3 linked regions of the Notamacropus eugenii genome follow. The protein of the gene in region 1 purifies or fractionates together with the protein of each later gene. This does not show direct contact. Links are inferred from orthologs where the notes say so. Each region holds a gene or a part of one and is shown in the gene's direction. Other genes may lie near its edges.

The links.
Region 2: the proteins of ACTL6A (region 1) and SMARCD2 fractionate together in Homo sapiens (co-fractionation; 5 studies listed by BioGRID and IntAct, with this or other methods). This does not show direct contact. The link is inferred for Notamacropus eugenii from reciprocal best matches to the Homo sapiens genes ACTL6A and SMARCD2.
Region 3: the proteins of ACTL6A (region 1) and SMARCE1 purify together in Homo sapiens (affinity purification with mass spectrometry; 9 studies listed by BioGRID and IntAct, with this or other methods). This does not show direct contact. The link is inferred for Notamacropus eugenii from reciprocal best matches to the Homo sapiens genes ACTL6A and SMARCE1.

Annotation. Positions count from the first base shown.
Region 1 is NC_092877.1:344,710,048-344,713,791, reverse strand, and holds the start of ACTL6A (actin-like protein 6A), read left to right. Parts: upstream 1-1,038; 5' UTR 1,039-1,512; coding exon 1,513-1,609; intron 1,610-2,226; exon of another isoform or gene 2,227-2,394; coding exon of another isoform or gene 2,395-2,419; intron 2,420-3,744.
Region 2 is NC_092873.1:343,814,118-343,817,861, forward strand, and holds the start of SMARCD2 (SWI/SNF-related matrix-associated actin-dependent regulator of chromatin subfamily D member 2), read left to right. Parts: upstream 1-892; 5' UTR 893-1,090; coding exon 1,091-1,306; intron 1,307-3,744. UniProt on the Homo sapiens protein: Involved in transcriptional activation and repression of select genes by chromatin remodeling (alteration of DNA-nucleosome topology).
Region 3 is NC_092873.1:356,293,162-356,296,905, reverse strand, and holds the start of SMARCE1 (SWI/SNF-related matrix-associated actin-dependent regulator of chromatin subfamily E member 1), read left to right. Parts: upstream 1-948; 5' UTR 949-1,035; intron 1,036-2,959; 5' UTR 2,960-3,004; coding exon 3,005-3,011; intron 3,012-3,190; coding exon 3,191-3,234; intron 3,235-3,744. UniProt on the Homo sapiens protein: Involved in transcriptional activation and repression of select genes by chromatin remodeling (alteration of DNA-nucleosome topology).

The DNA of each region.
Region 1 (3,744 bases):
TTCTTGTCCAGTGAGGGTCCAGTGACTGGTGGAAGTCCTAAACTTTCAGCTACAAGTCCACATGTTAGTGGCCCAGCAACTTGTGTGTCACCTATCACCTTTACCATTCCTGTAGGGTATCACCATGGCTGTTGACAAATGTAGCTTAGGTTATTTATTGCAACAGACTGTTGGTGGGTCTCCCTGCCTCAAATCTCTCTTCACTCCAGTCTATCCTCAGCTCAGTTGTCAAATAGCTTTCCTAAAATGAGGTTTCACTATGTCACATACTCCCTACTCCCTTTAACCAAACTCCCACAGCTCCCTATTGCCTTCAAAATCCATTGTAAAATCCTCTAGTTGGCTTTCAAGGCCCTTCATGAACCCAGTTCCTTCCTACCTTTCAGTCTTAGACCTTACTCCCCCTCCACATACTCTGCTATCCAGTGACAGCAGCCTCCTTCCTGTTCTATGTACACGATATTTCTCTCCCAACTCCAAGCATTTTTTCAGGCTGTAATACATACCTAGAACTCTCTCCCTCCTCATCTCTTCCCCCTGGCTTCCATCAAATCTCCACTAAAGTCTCACCTTCTGAAAAGGGAATCCTTAATGTTCCCCTCTCTTGAATGTTTCCAAAGTATCCTGACTATATCGTTTGTTCATGGTTATTTCTATATCCTCTCTTTGTATCTCAGAGCTTAGCACAGTGCCTGGTACTTAATAAATGCTGTTGACTGGAGCTGAGTCTTCCCAGAAGGTAGTACACACTTAGCTCATGACTGCCTTCTCTGCAGGTAGCATACATTTTAGAGCTAGTTGGATTACCAGGGTGATTGTTGACCGCCCATATTTGAAAATGAGCTCCATGCTCAGTCTCAAAAATTTGTCAGGGCAGCCTGTTTCAAAGCCAAGAACTCCAGTGGAGACATAGAACAAATCTCATTACTAGTAAGCCCTCTACTGGCAAAGGCAATGAGTTTCAGAATCAGATATAAAACTGCTCCCGGGCTTTTTAGGGTGGCTTCACGGAGTCACATAAAAGGCAGGCTTGCTTTCTGCAGGTACCAACACCGATGCCTGGGGGAGGACTTGACCATCTCTGGAGAAAGCTTTGCTTCGCTTCGTTCTGTTCATCTCTTATCTGTCTATATGCCCTATATACAACATATCATCCCTGTTCTAATGACATTAACTCTTCATAACGTCATGGGCTGTTGCCTTCTTGTCTGCCGGCTCAAGGCTCGGAGCACCGTGCCTGGCACGAAGTAGGCGCTTAAGAAGTACTTGTAGCTGTTAGAATAAGGATCCCTCCTTTTAAGGATCTCTCCCGCGGGTTTGGCAGGGTTTCCCTTGTCAGCCATAAAGTCGGGAGCATTTCTATGCCTGGCGGCTTGCCCAAATCAAAGGGAGTCAGCGCTTCTCGGGTCCCAGCCCTGTCACCTTCCAGGGGGCGGCTCCAGAAGCCACACTCAGTTCCCCAGAGGCAGGCAGTGCTTCAGGTCTGTTCTAGGGGCAGTCACCAAGTGCCCAATGGGAGCCATAACTGGGCATAAGCACCGGGTACGACAGATCCGCGCACCTGGAGAGGACTTTTTAGCAGCCCGAGGCTACTCTGCGAGTGCGCCAGGTAAGCGCGCACCTGAGCCTGCTGGTGGATGAGGGCTTGCGGGAGGGACCCGCGCAGAGGGAGGTGCCCCAGACCTGCTGCTGGGTCAGGCGTGTCCCCTGGGATCACCGACAGAGCTGGGAGGGTCCGCAGTGCGCCCTCATTTTACAGATGAGGTAACTGAGGCCATCCCGGGAGCACGTGACCGAAGAGGGGGGCTGGCAACTCAGGCCTGCGTCCCCGCACTGGTGCAGGAGCTCCAGGGAAAGGATGGGGAGGACCTCGCGACCTCCCGCAGCTGGAGATCCCCGGGGCTCCCCCCACACACGTATGTGTGACGTCACGTGAGTCCCTTCTTCTCTGGGTTTTGGGGGAGAGAGGGGGTGGGACCGCGTGACTTGCGGGGTCTCTGGGGCTCCCGCTCTTGGCAAGTCCCGCCTCTCCCCCTAGCAGGCCCCGCCCCAGTCCCTTATGCCCCGCCCCTTACGCGCTGCAACCCAACTCGGTGTCTCCTCCGCCCCCTTCCGCCGCTTGGCTTTCTCCCCGCCCCCCGAGGACGTTCTATTGGTCGCACGGCTGCGGGCGGGGGCAACGTCTCTCTCGGATTGGCGGACGCGGAGGCCTGGCCGCTCGTCATTGGCCCGCGGCGCGGCGGCAGCAGTGTGGATGCGCGCCTGAGCGGACGGCGCTTTGTTGCCTCAGGGGGAAGCCGGGGGGCGGGCGGCGGTTGCTGGAGCCCAGGAGGCGCCGGGGCCGGGCAGGCCGGGGCCGGGGGCCGCTTCAGCGCGGCGGCGGCAGTAGCAGCCATGAGCGGCGGCGTCTATGGAGGAGGTGAGCGTGGGCGCGGGCCGCGCGGGCCCCGAAGAGAGCCGGGCCCGAGAGCGCGGCGTGGGGGATCGCGGGCCGGGGCCCGGAGCAGGCATCCCCGCGCTCCGGCGCCGCTCAGGGAGGCGGGGAGAGGGGTAGCCCTGAAGCCCCTGCCGGAAGGCCTGCCCGGCCTCCCTTGGGTTCCGGAGAGGGCAGCGACCAGGCGCCGTCACTGCAGCGGGGAGGTCGCGGGCCTGCGGGCGCCAGCGCTGCCGGGGCCCCGAGGCCCAGAGTGGGCAGCCAGCCGCGTCCTGGCGCCCAGCACCAGCCCCCGGGACACCGAGGTCGGAACGGAGAGAGCCCGGCAGCACCATGCGGCCGCCCCGGGTCATGGGGGAGGGGCGGCGGCCACCGGCGGAGAGAGTGCCCCGGGGCCGGGTGGGGCCTGCCTCGGAGCCCGAGATGGCGAGGGGGGTCCTCGGGGCCCTGCATAGATCGGGCATCCACCGAGGGGCTCCGGGGCCCGCGCCTCGTTCAGAGCGCCCCCGGACACGGAGGGGCCGCCTCAGGGCAAGGGCCCAGGCCCTCTGGGTGGGCTCCTGAGGGGGGTGTTGGCACCTTGTGGGCCTTGAGTGCCCTTTGTCAGTGTCTCGGGGAACGACTGGGCGGGATGGTGGGTCCTGATGGCGCATTGAGCTCCCCGACCCGTCTGAGAGACGTTCAGAGAGTCACGGCGCTGCCGAAAGTTTCCGAGATTGCTGGACCTGGGCTTCTTAGCCTGGTCCGGGGTAGATTCAGGCGGGTCAGTGACCCCGAGCCGGAGAAGCTTGGGCAGCACCCAAAGGCAGCTTGGTTTGAACTCACCTGCCCCGGGACCCAGCGTCGCCTTGGTGACGATCTAAAAGAGCAGCCGACGTTCCGAGAAGCGGTCCTTAGGTCTGGCCAGCCTGGCCCAGAAGGTCCGAGGTCTGCCCAGGCCGTGCTCCTCCTAGGTTCTGCAGACCCCCGGGACACCTGGGACCCTGGGGCCTGCGGGGCCGTGACAGCGGACTCTCAGAAGGCGTTTTGTGCTCAGGACACTGGTGGAGAAACTTGGGGGATTGATTGGGTTCAGGAGACGGAGCAGGGGATCGTGGGTTTGTAGTCTGGTCTTAGAAATCTTTGTTCAGCTTGCCTGCGCACCTTGTGAAGTGAGGTGGTCGTAAGAACCGGGCCTGGCAGCTGTCAGGCTGGACACCCCATTTGGTTGGTTTTATGACCTGGGGGTCCTTTTCAGACCTTATTTTTCTCTTCTCTAAACTGGGAGAGTCACCTTGATGATTTCACAAGGGGATCACCCTAGTTGCATT
Region 2 (3,744 bases), on another chromosome or scaffold:
TTTCTGTAACGGGATGTCATGAAAAGCACTTACCTCCCGGGTGGTTAGAAGGATCACATCGGAGTGCTATATTAAAGGCAGCATTATTATTATTCATTAAAATGTAGTAAGTTCCTTGAGGGCACTTGTAGCCCCAGGGATGTAGCACAATGCCTGGCCATGGGAAGGGCGCAAATGCCCGCTGACTTAATCTAATGTGAACAGGCAATCAGTCACGCAGAGATGGGCAGCGGGGGCACGCGGAAGTGGGGGAAGGAGAGCAGCCCCCCGCAGCAGCCCCTCCAGCCCTGCCGAGACTGGATGGGCTGGTTTGGCGGGGACCTTGGTGCCTGGGCTGTCTCTCCCAGGCTGGGAATGAATGGGAAACCTGCCCTCGGCCACCCCCACGGGTCTCGGCCCTTAAGCTAAAGACAGTGACATTTACTAGGAGTTGATCAGAAGGCGGTGAAGGTGCGCGATAGCTTCGGGGTCTGCTCGGGTTTTTCCCCTCCTCCTGTCCTGCAGGGGGCGGGAGCACAGCTAGGAGGAGGAAGATGCCTCCGGCGGTCTCCCGGTTGGGGGCGGGGGGAAGGAGGCGGGGTTCTGGCCAAGGGAGGGAGGGAAGCCGGCAGTTAGAGGCGGTTCTCGCGAGGGGCGGTATTTGAGGGGTGTCCCTGGATTGGGTGAGACATGAGGTATAGGCGGGGCCTAGTCGGGGGCTGGGCGGAGTCAGTAGTTTGTTGCTGTCAGCGGGAAGTGGGGACATTGCTGCCCCTCCTCCACTCTCCACCCCCCCCCCCCCCCCCCCACTTCCACCGAGGGCTGAACTTCCAGCGGGTGGGTGCAGTACCGAGCCCAGATCAGGATTTCTCCGCCTCCTCCCCTCCCAGCCCAGGAGCGGAGCTAGGACTGACCCGATCCATACCGGATCAGTGCAGAGTTTAGAAGCCGGATCAGGAAATCTCGGGTCCCAGACCGGGAAATCCCGGAACCTGGATCAGTAAAGCTCGGAGCTCGGACCCGGAAGCCCCGGAGCTCGGATCGCGGAGGGGGTTCCTTGGGCGCGGAGCCCGGAACCTGGATCGAGGCTGAGACCAGACGGGACGGAACGATGTCGGGCCGCGGCGCGGGCGGGTTCCCGCTGCCCCCGCTGAGCCCCGGAGGGGGGGCGGTGGCGGCGGCCCTGGGGGCCCCCCCGCCCCCCGCGGGGCACGGGATGCTGCCGGGAGCGGCGTTGAGGGGCCCAGGGCCTGCAGGAGGCGCGGGGGGCCCCGGGGCCGCAGCCTTCCGCCCCATCGGGCCCACGGGACCCGCGGCGCAGTACCAGGTGCGGGGCCGGGGGCCGGGGCTGGGGCGGCGTGGGGCCCGCCGGGGCTCTGGTGCAGGGGCCTGGCAGAGGAAGCGGGACTCACGGTGCCAAGTTCAAGGGTCACTCCAGCCAGGGGTCAAGGCCAACTACAGTTAGGGTTGGGGGGCGGCCCTAGAACACAGAACACCAAGTCCGGGGCTTCCCAGGCCAGTGGCTTCCCAAGATAAGGGCACCATCATAGGGAACTCAGAGGTCATCCAGGCCTGCATCCCTCAATCCCCCATTTTACAGAGGAAGAAACTGAGTCCAAAGAGGTTAAGTCGCTTGGCTGAGGTCACATAGATAGTAAGTGTCCAATCTGAACCCAAGCCCTCTGATCCCCAGGCCAAGCCCTATGGGAAGGGCAGGTGGGTATGGAATGGGGGTTGGGGGAGATTTGGTGCACGTGTGAACCTGGGTAGGGCCTTCGTGCTAAGGCCAGCCTGCCCCAGGTTGTGGAGCAAAGGGAAGCTAGTTTGAGCACCTGAGAGTGAAATGCCACATTGGCTGATGAAAGGAGTGGGGTAAAAGGGCATGTGTGGAGGTGGAAATGGAAATGGGGCGGTGGGGTGTCGGTGCAGGTGGGGACAGTCAGGGCTAGAAGTGTGAGGTGCTCCTGAACAAAAGGAGGCCCCTAAGGAGTGTGGAGATTGTTGTAGGCAGAAAGAGCACCGAGGCCTTCCATGGGTAGAGAGGAATCCTGGGTTTCTGGGGGGATATGGACAAACTAGGGGAGGGTAGAATTACTTAGGGGTAGGGGATGGCAGCCCCATTGCAGGAGTGAGGTTTCCTAGGAAGATTTTGTTTCAGGCGTTTTCTGTTTTCTGGAGCCATGAGCCGGTAATGTTTTATCTTGCCTTGGCCTGTTATGGTTTTATGTAACTCCCAGTGGCTTTTTTGGAGGGAGAGGTGGTGCTGATGGGAAGCTTAGAATTTAAGTTGAATGGACCTCTTCCTCATGCACCAGGACCTCCAGAGGAGGTCCAGTGGGTTTCCTCCGTTGGGTTTTTCAGGAAATGGGATATAGCTGAGTTAAGCCAGGTAACCAGGATAAGTCCTTGGGAAAGGAGGCCTGGGCCTATGAGAGCCCAGCTCCAGGATAGTTACAGGCAGGCATTCTCAGCACTTCGCTGTCATTGTGTCTGGGAACTGATTGCAGTAAGAGGGTTCAGAGAGACTCAGTTGAGTGCAGGTCTTGGAGTTGCTTGGAGTTGGGCAATCCTAGAGGTCAAAGGTTAGTTACTTCTGCCCCTAGAAGGCAATACCTGACAGGGATTTGTGCTGGGCTCTAGTTAGTGGGGACTTCACACCTATTTAGCCCAGTTCCCCAATCTCTTAGTTGTTTTAGATTGTTTATGAATACTTAGGAGAGTCATATCCTCTCCTATCTTCGTTCTCTACACACATTTCATTTCCGTCCACTTTGGGCTATGCTGAAGACTAAACCACCTACCTTAGCATTGAATTTTCTTTGCTGATCCACTCAAAGTCTTTGGTTGCTCTGTTCCTCTTTTCCCTCCAGGCTGAGGGCATTAGAAGGAAAGCAGCTTACAGAGGTAGGGGAACACCTATGCATTCTGCTAGCACTCTCAGATGATAACTGTTAATAGCATTTTCCCCCTTCTTACCTTTCCCAGTTGATTGGATATGATAAGCCATATTGACCCTAGTCTCAAGGCCTTGAGGGAAACAGGTCCATCTTTCCTACCTCCTGCCTTGCTCATGAGGACTTTTAGAGCCAAGACGGTTCCAGGAAGATCCAAAAACAAACCAGTTCCTTGAGCCTATCATCTTTGACATGAATTACCAGTATCCTAGGCAGCTTCAAGCCTAGTATGGATTCAGGGCTAAACTTTTTTTTTAAACCCTTCCCTTTTTGAGATGATTAAATGGCATTGAATTATATTCCCTCTCAACTTTCTCTCCTCCCCTTCCTTCCTACTGTTGGGAGCCGTAGGAAGGGTTTACTCCAATATGGGATTCATGGAAATAGCCTTGAACATGGCAAATACAGAATCAGCCAGACTATTTAGTTCACAAGACTTTAGGGAATCAATGGTCCCTTGCTCCTGAGGGAAGGGCAGATCTGGATCTAGGGGAATTTGGCAGGCAGTGACGGGTGGGGACATTTTTCTGGACCACTGGCCCTCCTTGTGCCTAGACCACGATATCTAGGGGATAAAGAACTTTGTGATGCGGTATCAGTACTACTAGGAATGTCAGATGAGCTAGGGGAATAGGGACTGTGAGTGTCTGTGGTGAAAACTGAGGAAGGAGTTAGTGGGGGCCTGTTGAAAAATGAGGAACTTCTCAGTGACTGTTGGTATTTGGACAGCTCAGCAGTAGTATCCTAAAGACAGTGACGTCTGTTCCACTTTCATCTGAGACCTTTTTGGTTAGACATGACATGCAGGATC
Region 3 (3,744 bases), on another chromosome or scaffold:
CAGTCTCCTCCCCTTTTCCTCTTCCCTGAAAGACTGCCTTCGTAAGGGTAAAAGCACTAGATTCGGGAGCAGTTCTGAGGGTACAGTATGCAGCAATGCCAGGGAGCCGGGTAAGAGGGCGGGTGGGTCCCCCGTAATCTGGCGCTGTTAAAAGGACCGTGGCTTCGGGGACGCCTTTAGCCCCTGCTATTTATTTACTACCTGCACAACGTTGGGCGAGTCAAGCTAACTTCTCCAGCCCTGCTTCCCGCTCTGTAAAATAAAGGGACGATGCTCAGCTGTTCTAGCCCTCCTTCCCTTCCAGCTCTGAACCCTAAAAGTCCCGACCGCACCCTCTAGGGCGGGTCACCCCTCCCGCATTCCCCGCTGGGTCAGGAGTGTCTTTGCTATAGACAAACACTTTAGTCTGGACCCGGACAGTTGAGTGGGTAAGACCAGGCTCAGCTCAGAGCAGGACCGAGCAGTCCAGCCCTTACCGTCCAGCGCGGGCACGCTCTGAGCTGCGGAAGCGCGCACGCCTGCATACGTGCACACGGCACGGCCACCTACTTACGCAACGGCGCGTCTTGAACCCGCCCCCAGCTCGAGTCTGAGAGGCTGTGCGAGCGCGGGCTCTGGGTCACGAGGTATCACATTCGCCACGCACCCGGCGCCTCCTCGCTCTGGCCCCGCCTCCAGGAAAGGCTGCGTTTACGCTTCCGACTGGGCCTCTTCCTGTCTATGGGCTGTCGTCTTTCTTCTCGCCCCTCCCACTCCGGCTCCTGTGGCGAATCTGCGCCCCGCTAAAAAAAACCTCTGGAATTCGAGAACCTTTGAGGGAAAAAAGAGACGGACTCGGTGCCAGATACTTTCTCGCCTGGCAATGCCGCGGCTTCGTGCCCTTCTTTCTTCCCAGGAGCCGTCGTTGGTCCTAGTCCCGAGTCCAACCGTGTGTCGAAAGTGCGACCGCGAAAGCGGCGGCGCGGCGCGAGGGGGCGGGGCCTGCGCGGGACAAAGGAAGAGGAGCCGGAGCGGCGGCCTCTCTACAGAGCCCGGGTAAGTGGAGCAAGACGGGGAAGACGCGCCTACTGAGCGGGGGGCGAGAGCTCCGCGGCGCCCCTGCCTCTGCCCCGAACTTGGGACCAAGCTGGGCGGCGGGGGCGGCTGTGAGCCCGGGCGGGAGGGCGGGAGGCCTACGGCGGCCCCCGGTGGAGTAATCTCCTGAGCCTGCTGAGGTCCCGGCAGCCCCCCGACCGGGGACGGGGAAACCGGAGCTCTTTGTGTAGGCCGCGGCCCGGGAGGAGCCACGTTGTCCCTGTCGGGCTCCTGAGAGTGGCAAAGGGGAGGTCTGAGGGTGGGCGGGGGGAACGCTGTCCTGGTCCTTCCACCCCTCCCCCCAGAAGTGCGGCCGGATTCCGGCAGCACCTGCTCGCGGGGAACAGCTGGACTCCATAGTCAGAGGTCCGTGACGTCCGCATGCTCCTCTTCCTTAAAAATGGGGAAATTCCCTAGAGTACTGAGACTAGATCCACCGGGAATATTCATCCCGTTGCAGTCATGGTTCCCCCTCCTCCCTTATTCTGAAGAGCCTTGTTGAGGTGATACATGCCCCCCAAAATCATCTTTGTCTGATGCATTCATTCCACGTTGCAGTCACTGGGTGAAAGTTATCCTGAGTGGGTAGGACCTTTACTAAAGGGGTCCTTAACTTTGTCGTTTTTTCTGATTTTTTTTTTTTTAGCTTTCCCATTTATATGTACTTAGAATGACATTTTTTTTTAAGACAAACACAGTCATAGCTTAATAAATCTAGAGCTGGAAAGGACCCTAGAGGCCATCTAATCCAGTCTCCTTCCCCTACCCCCACGACCCCCATCCCATAATTTTACAGATGAGAAAATGAGGGAGAGTAAGTGATTTGCCCAAGGTTATACAGGTAAATAAATAGTCCGATGTGGAATTACAACCCTGATCCTCTGACCTTGGAGATGGTGCTCTTTCCACTATAAGTGGCTGCCCCAAAGTGTTTAGTTAACTTTATGCTCCTAAATCCTTTGTCCAGTATCAGAAATATAATAAAGTGAAACACTATTATTTCTGTAAAACTTATAGTTAGTTAAAACAAGTGTATAGGATTTAGTCTTGCAAGGAAATTTATAGATCATTTTGTCCAAGGATTCTTATCATGGACCCCTTTGACAGTATGGTAAAGCCTTCCTAGAGTATTATTTTTTTTAATAAATAAAATGCATGGGATTACAAGGAAGCAAAGGAAACCAATTCCACTAAATATATGTGTTTTTAAAAACATTTTTATGGAACCTAGGTTGAGAAATCTTGATCAAGTCTGATCACCTCCTTTTGCAGATGAGGAAATTGAGACTCAGAGAGGATTAAGTAACTTTACCAAAGTCATAGGAGAAATTTATAATTTCAGACCTAAAAGCTTTGATTTCAGATTCAGTCCTCTTGCTCATATAGCATATCTGCTTCTCTTTTTGAAAAGTTATAGTTTTCTCTTAAGCTGTGGAAATTCCTGTTCTTTGCCCAGCTTCAAAAGAGTAATAAAGAGCAGTTTCCAAGACACTAAATGGAAAGAAACTGCTAATCAGTTGTATTCTTTCTCCTAATCATTTTTAAAAAGAGCATCTTTAAATTTGCTTGTGTTATCAGTAAATATTTCTTAAAATGAGAATAGCTCAGTAATCTCATAGAATTTCAGGGTAAAATTTTAAAAACTATTGCACTAGTCCAATCGCTGTTATTTTCCCCCAATAATTTGTAATAATCATTTTAATTCAGAAAATAAGCTTCCAAGCCACATTCTTAAAGGATTTTTTTAAAAAAGGAGAAAAGGCAAAATTTGGAGTTGTTTTACCCAGAAACACTATTTTATTTATCATATTCTTTGACTGCTTAGGAAAACATTCTCTCATGCATACTTTTGATTTTCTTTGTTGTTTTGTTGTTTTTTTTTTAGTGTCCCAAGTTCATTGTTAAGGGACTGAGAACTTAATCTTCCAAAATGTCAAGTAAGTTTCATTTTTTATATTTATCAAACTGTGTGAATAAGGGACTAATGCCCTAGCAAATGGGAATTCCAAAATATTCTTTCTCAAAATTTTTCTTCAAAACAGGGCCATTGGTAGTTTTGTTGCTTAGTGTTATATCTCCGTTGTTTACAAGAAGTTATTTATTTTCTTTCAAACAGAAAGACCATCTTATGCCCCACCTCCCACCCCAGCTCCTGCAACAGTAAGTTTTAATTTTCTTGTTAATGTAATAGCCAAAAGTCTGGCCTTGCTACAAAAACCCAGATGTCTTCCAGTAGCAATCACTCAGTAATACAGCAACCAGAATGAAAACATTTCATGTAAAAATAATACTTCCTACTAAATATTTTAAATCTCTTCACACCTTGCCTTGAACTAACCCTGAAATTTTCAAAGAATAAACTGCCAAGATACAGTGATCTCTCAATTGCAAAATAAATTCCTGATAGTGAGTTTTTCTTGTACTGGGAAAAAATAAGAACCCTGTGATAATCATAACAATAATTTCACCGCTTTTATCTTGGCAATAGTCATCATTTAAAAAGAAATCATAGAATTTCAAGCTCAAAGGGACCTTGGAGGTCATCTAGGCTAATCCCATCATCGTATTAAATGAAAAAACTATTGGGTTTTTACCCATCAGAACATTCCATTTTCTTGACTAAAAAAAATTTTGCCTTCAGCTGGTTGTTGCTTATTCCCTTTTGTCCAT